Linked DNA regions of Drosophila melanogaster. The protein of the gene in region 2 interacts with the protein of the main gene of each other region in a pairwise test. Each region holds a gene or a part of one and is shown on either strand. Other genes may lie near its edges. The genes, in order: c-cup and CG43689.

Region 1 (3,646 bases), on a different chromosome or scaffold from region 2:
ACAATTTTTGGACAACTTTTTTAAATTCCTTAAGCACGTCGACTGACGAAACTTTGCGCTGGCGAAAAGTAATTTTGATTTTATTAGCTGTGTAGCACCTGACGGCATTCCTTCTGCTTTCCCGCCCGCTTTGTCACTTCTTGGCTTTCAGCTCTCAGCTCTCAGAATTCAGCTTTCAATTCAATTTAAGTCAATTGCGTGTTTGGCGCAAAGTTTTTCCACACACATACACCGGCACAATGGGAAACCCGAATCACCCCGAAGCCCTGAAAATTCGGCGACAACTTGACAAAGTCAACAGCTTGATGGGCAAAAAGTGCCAAGTAAAAAGGAAAACACGACAAACAATTTGTTGTTATCGACATTTGCCGTTGTCGATATTTTCCTGTCGAACCGAACCGCTGGGGAAAAAAGCGCAAGACAAAGGCGGAAAAACTTTCCGGCTTTCCAAATGCCAAGAGCTCGGTCAAACGGCAAAAAAAAAGAAGGACAGAATTAATTTAATCTCAGGCTGGAGGAGATTGTAAAAGAAATAGTCGATCATTTGTTTGGCAACCTAAAACCTTTGGAAAATATTCGCTCATGAAGCTAAAAGATATCTTCAATAATTTTGTTTATTCTACAAGTTACATGTAATTTTTCCAAACGCATTTTTAGTCCGTGGTTGCACTGAATATCCCCTTCAGTTAGCTTGGAAGTAAATTACTAGTTTCTGTGAATAATATTTTATTGCCAAGCTAAGAAAACGGGATATTCACAGCATCTTAAACGATATCACTCTTCTCCATTTGCTCCCCTATGGCCGAATTTGTATGTTTGACTGGACTACCGCTAATAATATCTATATCAGCATCGACTAAATATCCTACGACTTTAAATTCGGCTCTTAGGCTCTGCTCCCAGCGACTTATTACGTTCGCAGCGCAGACGCCCATGGAACTGCAGGCAATGTTCAGGACCTTGTTGGCATTGCAACCGGCCAATAGGGAGTACGGACCGTGACTGCTGAACTTTTCTCGGCCCGGACTCAGATCGTATATGAGGCCATTCAGAGCGGTGTAAATGGGTAGACTGGGACTCGAGCCATCGAAGGCAGTTAGCTCCTCCAGAGTGAGCAGAACGATATCGTGTCCTTTGGTGTCCTTTGGCTGACTCTCTTTCCTGGGGTACATGTCCAAGTACTGCGTCGACTCATCGGATTTCTCAGAGTCCCTCTTGAATTTGCCATAAAATTGCGACAACTTTGTGGTGACAAAGTAGCCAACCAAAAAGGAGACTAACGCCTGGCCAAGAGGACTTTTTAGCACTTTGGAGGCTGTCATCAAATTGGGACCCAGCTCTAGAGGATGAAGTGAGTGCGTTACGTAATTATCTACTACTTAATAACATTACTTACTTGCAGGAAACATTTGTCCAAGTATCGGCATTTTTACGACTTTTCCATAAACTATATAATTGACTCTGTTTAAGTTGTTTTCGTGCTCAGCATTTCATGAATTTTGAAAGTTCAGTCGAAATATATTCGAGTGCAAAATCAGCGGCAATTTGATCATACTCAATTAAGCCGAGTTAACAACAATTTACCGCAGTGCGGAGCGAATAAAAATGTTAAGCCACCTGCTGCCGAGCTCATTTACATCAGTCATATAAATTACATGCACTTAAAGAAATTCAGTACTATTCATTTCTAGCAAGACAAAGTTATTAAGTTATTATTTATATATTTCTTCAACATCTATTTATACGTGCATCAACCCTTTTGGTTGCTTACTCATTAAAATATTGATTTTCTTCGAGTGTAACGTACATAGCTACAGCGTGTGTCTACGCCATTTGCTATTACCATTAATGCCAAATGCTATCGTAAAAAAATGTCGCATGAAAACATTGCCAGTCTGCTGTCAGTTGCTGTTTTTATCAAATTGGCTGTACTTGGACTTTAATATGACTTAATAAGCTCATTACAATTTTTTGCGCCACGATGTGTGCGTATGAGCATGTGAGTGTGTGTGTCTCGCCAACAAAGTGTAATTTTGCGCCAGGCGAGTGCTCTGGGAGAAATACATACGGACGCTTATGTAAATACAAGTACAACTGCAGGGCGACTGCCAGGACGAAGGAGTCCTGCGCTGATTTGGGTCGGATTTAAACGATACCCTCGGATTGTTCAATTGCTCGGAAAGCTGAAATTGGTTTGTTGTGGCTCTTACGGTAATTGAGCTCCCACAATAGTAGTTTATATAAAATATGGCATTATTGCTTTATAAATTACGCTGTGCACTGAAATGTTGGCAATATTTTAAGTATTTATTTATTATGCTTATAGTGACATTTCCAAGTGTTGTCATGTGGTCAGCTTGAATGACTTACTATATGTGGCACCATCATGCCCTGGCAATACCCTGGCGATTCTCGTAACAGGATTCAGGAGAAACTGGCAAGCGTAGCGCCGTTTCGTTTCCGCCTTATGCTCGCATTAAAATTTGCATAACGTTGATTTTGTTGCGAGCACATTACGCATACGCCGCGTGTGACGTTGGTTCAAATTGCTTTGGGCACTCGGTTTGCGGCTGGTTGCTTCCTTTGCCTGTTGTCGTGTTTTTGTTATTTTTCCTTCATTCCAGCTCTTTTTCGCTTATTTTAATTTAATAAATTAAAACATATTTCGCATGCTGTTCAAATGTAATTACATATCCCTTGGACCGCACTCGCTACCGCTCAGCCTTGCCTTCTTTTAATTAAAAATAAAAATCATACAAATAAAAAAGAGCAGCAGTCTCTTTAAAGTTCGTATGGCTGCCACTGCCGTTCTGCGGGTTATTAATAAACTTTTCAATTGCCCACCAACCGCGAGGGCAGCTGTGTCGTATTAACTTTGTCTGCCAGCCGCGCCCCTTTTCCTCCCGCCCCCTTTCCACTGTCTCTTGTTTGGCTTATTAGTCCCGCTCCGCTGAAATTTGCTTTGGCAAATGTCGGAAATCCGAATGCCAGAAAAAAAAAAGGAATCACAAAATTTCAACCACAAAGTGCCAAAGCTCATAAGCCCACGAACAGGATAAAAAGGCTCCGGCAGAAGGAGCAGTACAAAGTATGCGGATGCTGCTTATTATTCGAGTTAATTAAAGCAAATTTCAAAAGGATTAGAATGCCAGCAGATTTGCTTAGTTTACTTTGCTGCAGGCCTGCGAAGGTTCTGGGATTTTCTGCTAATGGGATAGACTTTGAAAAAGAGGGAAACGATAAAGGGTTCAGACATAAACAACTTAAATAGGGGTTTCCTTGAATCATTTACAATTGTTCATTTGGCTCCGGTCGTATTGAAACATTCAATTATTACCAAACTTCTTTAAAATGTACGACTCTCAACACATTTATTCAAAGCCAAAACGAGTACAAATATTTCCATAAAATATTATCAAACATTACCAGAGAGTCCCACTCCATATTGCAAAGTCCCAACCAATCCCCTTGGCGTCCAATGATTTATTCATTGAACTGAGAGGCAAGGCAAAGCCATAAAAATCACCCACATAGTTTTTGGCCCGATGCCGCCCTCACACTCGGCACTTTGGTTATACGCCTGATGCTGAAATATTTTGCTGCACTAACCATAAATAAAAAGTGCAGAACAAGTACAGAAAAAGCA
Region 2 (5,257 bases):
CACGCGATGCTATGTCCTGCATAACAGATGCAGCCCGACTGCCGATGCCCGCCGGCTGGAGAATCGTGTACTGTTTGCCATCGGCCATCGGTTCCTTGGGCCGCTGCTTCTCGCCCAGCTGACTGGCAATATCGAAGGCGGTACTCAGTTGCTGATGCTGCTGTTGTTGGTGCTGCTGCTGCTGCTGTTGTTGTTGTTGACTAGCGGCGGCGGCAGCGGCATAGCCATAGTAAGCCAATCCGGCGGCAGATTCCGCTGCAGCGGCCGCATTATAGGCACTATAATGGGCATGAGCGGCGGCCACATAATTCCGTTTGATGATATCGATGGGCGGCTTAAAGGCCGAGGCCGCTTGCGTGTAAACGCCTTGTCCCGAGGCGGAAGATGAGGTATCTTCCAGTTCCGGATCCTGATCCTCATCGGGCGTCTTTTTGCCGCGCCCCTGTGCCTCCAGATGGACGACACCACCAGCACCGCTGGCTGCATTCAGGCGCGCCTGGTCGTTCTCTTTTTGTCTGTGGAAACGTGAGAAGAGTGTGGAATTGGGATTTGGTGAGCTGGCTTGTGCTTGTATGGCATGGCTGGGATTGCCAATGGCCTCATACTTTTGTTTCTCCTCGAACAGATTCTGGAAGGGCGGTGGATTCTCGTCCTGCTCCTGCAGCCGATACAAATTCCCCCTTGAGTCGGGCCAGCTGCCCGATAGGCTTTTCAGCGCCGCCTGTGTTTCGCGGATGAGTGTCTCATCGTCCTGATCCGCATCCGTGTTGCTTTTGGCCAGCGGAGTGGGCAGTGAACCGCATGTGGGGCTCTCCGGACTGTCTGCGATGTGGCCCTGGCCGCCTTGTTTGCGTTTCTTCTGCGGCAAATTGTTGTTGTTGCTATTGCTGTTGTTATTGTTGTTGTTGTTGTTGTTATTATTATTATTGTTGTTGTTGTTGATCAGGCTGGAGTCGTCGTCACGACTGCAACGTTTGCGCCGCTTGATGGATGTCTCGTGATCATTGCCATTGGTGTGGTTGCCATTGCTTTCGGACAACGGCGTGTCCTTTGTAAGGGGCCGCTTGGAAAGCGCCATTTTCCCGGTGGCTATTCCGTGTTTCCGGCTCTTTGGCTCCGCTGATCAGGTGAAAAGTCAAACGAAACGTAAGCAATATTGTGGTTGTTTTCTGTAGGCAGAAGTGGATGACGTTTGTGTGGATGCACCACCTTTGCAACATTATCATTTTTCAGCTTCAGCAACCGAAATCCACACTTATTTTACTCCAATATCACCAGACTTAACAAAATCGAAACCATTTTCAGTAAACAAGCTCTATAATAACAAAACTAATACCATCGCCAGTTTGTTTTCAACGGAAAGAATAAAGTGTTTTGATAAACAAATATCGTTAAACCAAAGTAATTTTTGTTTACAAGCCCACCTTTTAAATCATAATAAGCGTTAAGCGTTTTGCAACTAACATCTAAAATTTAGCAAAAACTACTAGTATTTTGTCAGTTGCTTAATGTTTTGTTGTCGTCATAAATTTGGTTTATTGCTAGAATCGTCTGCTTAATTGTGCTCAACTTAATGGTAACATAAAATAATAATCCATAAACTATTAATAATGTCTTTGGAAAACTTTTATACAAAATGGGCTAGTCTTATGATTTTAAAGAATATTACAAAATAATATTAAGCCGTAGAAGTTCGCGCTGCAAACATTCATTATTCTATGTCGCCTATAAAGCATGGGAATAAAATGATTTTTAGTTAGTGGGTGGGTACGTGACATAAGCAGCTTCCCATCTAAATGGTTAGGATAATATCGAGTCGAAACTCGAGATTTGCGCTAGATCAATTTTCAATTTTGTTAGTCATATTCTCAATGTGATTATTCTTGTTGCATTGAATTTCTTGTACTTGTATACTATTTGTTTTTGTTTTCCTGTTTGGTTATTATTCATTTGTTTAATTTCTCGTTCTGGTTGTTTTTTTTCTTTCTTTTTTCGTTTCGAAATTTATGCCTTCACAGGGGCAGGGGGGCGGGTCTGGGTGAGGATCAGCATGGTATATAGTGTACACAATATTTATGTATATATATATATTTATATATATTCCTATATATAATTATAGACTGTCAGTTATCAGTTCGATACGAAAATTTGCAAGTTCTATTGGGGATATTACAAGATTCAAATACTTATATATGAACTTTACCTATTTGGCGAATTCTGTTTCGATTTTGTTGTCTTAGCGATTACGATTGCGATTTACGATCGATATCGATTTCGATTTTGTTATTAATTTGCTTTGATTTAATTTAATTTATTTAAACACTCTGCACTTATTGGCTGACCATTCGGTTATGGCCTTTGTTTGTATCTTTTTGTTTGCTTTGCTGATAATGTGATGTGGCTGCTGGCTGATAGCGTTGCTGTTGCGATTTCTTGTTCCACACAAACACTATATGTTTTATGTATATTCTTATATAGGATATGTCTCACCAACACAAAAAACTAACGAAACTAAAACTGTTTAAACAGTAACAAAAATCAAACAAACAATCAAACACTTAACTCACTTTTTGTCAACGCGACGGCGGTGATGTGTCTACGAAAAATGTTTATTGTTTTGGTAAACTTAGGCCGGCTAACGTGGCGTATACTTGATGTCAATTAGATCACGCACTTTTTTCGCATTTGTTTTTTGGTTTTATACTCGTGGGCTTTTGTTTTGCATTGCACTGGGTTTGACTTTGTTTTTATTTCACTTATTTGTGAAGGGGGTTTTTGCGCGGCGGCTGGGAAGTTTTGCTTTTAGTTCGTTGGGCGCTGCGAACAAAAACTTTTGCACTTTTATGCCGCACTCTGGTAAAAGTTTGTGTCCGTCTTCAGAAAGTTTTTGGGATCTCCGGGGCCAGACCAATGGAATATACCCACTCTATATGGCAGCTGCAATAAAAGTCTGCGTCGCAGCGAGCGGCGGTGAAGTCCGGACGTCCAAAACCCGACTGCTCGATGCGTTTGGGGTAATAAAATTTTACATCGTCGCCGTTTCAGTCGCCGTCTTTCAGTCGCTGTCGACGTCGACGCACGTTTTCCGAGCGCCAAAACGGTACAAAAAAAAAAAAAAGCGTTCGGCTTTCCCAATACGGTGTGTCGTTGAGGTTTTGGGGCAATATATGTTCCTTTCTAGCCTGTTCCGTTTCTGTACCGATTTTCCAGGCGGAACGTGCGTCTCTACCTGTTCTAAGTTCGCTGCCAACTGACAGTTTTCCAAAGTTGTCGAACTTTCGAACGCACTGAAAATTGCAGTCGACGTCACAGTCGCCGTCGCAGTCGCCGTTTTCGGAGTAAAAACCCGAAGTGCCGATGTACTCATCCCCTGGCCAGCACTGTATGACAGTATAACAGTCTGACGAGTCGGCGCACTGGAGCTCGTCCTGTTCGCCGTCCACCCCCCCTGTTTTCCGAAAGGCCGATGGAAAAGTCGTGGCCGAAACGGGGCGGCTTTTTCGGAGGACTTCGAGGATATCCTCTCGGAGCAGCGACGTCGGCAGCAGCCCACAAATGACTTTATCCCGTCGACGACTCAAGTGCAGGGATTTGCTCCGTGGACGGCAGTCCGTCGTCCATCGCCCAGCTAAGATCGCTGAAGATTCGGATCCAGATGCCAGAATTCACCTGCATTGATTGCGATCCAGGCTAGCAAATCCATTAGCGCCATCTGACGCATTTGCCAGCAGGTGATTCAGGTCACATCCACATCCACATTCACATCCGCCTGCCGATCGCAACGAGAATCGGCGAATCCATCATGTGCCGCCGTCATCAATCCATCAATCACCACTGCAACCGAAAATTCACAGCTGGTTGGTTTAGTGCGCGAATGTGTGCCTTTTTTTTTGCAGTTCAGTGATTAAGATACTCCAAAGTCAACAAATAACATTAAGCAATGGGATATTGAATGGAGCTATGTTTAGGGATTGATTTTTTATTTCTAAGAGTTCATGTTACTTAGCTCAGCCAAGGCTATAATGATCGCAATAAAATGCATCTATCTAGAATTTAGATAGTTTATTCATTTGAAGTTGGCCAAAAAGTTATTTTTTGTTCTCAAATAAACGAAATATTTATTCAATATTTCGTTAGCAAAAGTCGTCTTGATGGGGATACAATTTCTTTATGAATAGTTTAGGCTCCACCAAGTTCAAGTTTCAAGTGGAGCAAGGTGACGTTGAGGGGAAGTTGGCATTTGGGAGCCGCCATTCGGGTTCTTTGAACCGGTCGCAGGAAAAAGGGTTTTCGGTGGCGCAAACGAAGATGCGGAAGCTGCTTGTGTGCGCTGGGTCGTAATTAAAATAATTAAATGTGGAAAAAAGTAATCACAAGATTGAAAAGTAATTTACACATGTAAGCAAACACCGTGCACACACTCACACACACTTACACACACAGTCAGCACACGCAGACATGTGCAGCTTAAACAAATACAGGCGCAAACAAAGCCCGCAGGATATTCGCAGAAGACGCCAGAAGACGGGTTCAAAGAAAGCAAAAAAGAAAAATAAGAAAATAGGAAAAAAACCCGCTGAAGAAGCGGAAAAAACAGTGCCACAAATTGCCTAGGCAAATGGAAAAGTCAACATTAAGACAAGACGAGTGCAGAGCACAAAGCTGATGGGAATCTGCAGCTTGGGATCAGGAAGGATGGATTCTATATATGTATGCCGCCAAGAAGGGGTTTCTTTTCGGAATGATGATGCTGGCGGTGGAGAGGGGTGGGGATTAGCAGCTCGGAACCCGTGCCTTGCGTAAACGCAAAAACGCAAATGATTTCTCTTATTTCCAAGCGGTCGCGGTTATTTTGTGGGCGGGATGGGCCAACCTTGGATGGGGAGGATTGCCATTCGTCTAAAATTGCGTTCCTGCGTGCTGCACTGTCCAAAATTACAGTACATATATTGGTAATTAACTAAGCTTGGCCAAATGAAATTGGGCAAAGAAATGTAATACTATTGGTTTTATTTTGTAGGGAATTCAATTTGCCCAAAGATTTTAAAGTCTTTCTTTCCACAGTATCCGACTCCGCTGAGTTGTGCCACAGGCCAAGTGTAGGCAAAATATGCAGAAAGGGGTGTGGCGTGGGCGGGAAAAGGGGGCGGAAGGCCGCGGCTCAGCGGCCACAGACGTTGGCGCAAATCTAAGGACAACAAAAATTAAGTGGCAACAAGAAAATAAGTCACTTTTTGCCCAGACCCCATGGCCGTGG

What was found.
Region 1: the proteins of CG43689 (region 2) and c-cup interact in a two-hybrid assay, tested with the Drosophila melanogaster proteins (one large-scale study listed by BioGRID).

Annotation. Positions count from the first base shown.
Region 1 is NT_033779.5:1,831,028-1,834,673, forward strand, and holds c-cup (calcutta cup), read right to left. Parts: upstream 1,539-3,646; 5' UTR 1,428-1,538; coding exon 1,397-1,427; intron 1,340-1,396; coding exon 765-1,339; 3' UTR 600-764; downstream 1-599.
Region 2 is NC_004354.4:4,073,737-4,078,993, reverse strand, and holds the start of CG43689 (uncharacterized protein), read right to left. Parts: upstream 3,017-5,257; 5' UTR 2,568-3,016; intron 1,120-2,567; 5' UTR 1,079-1,119; coding exon 1-1,078.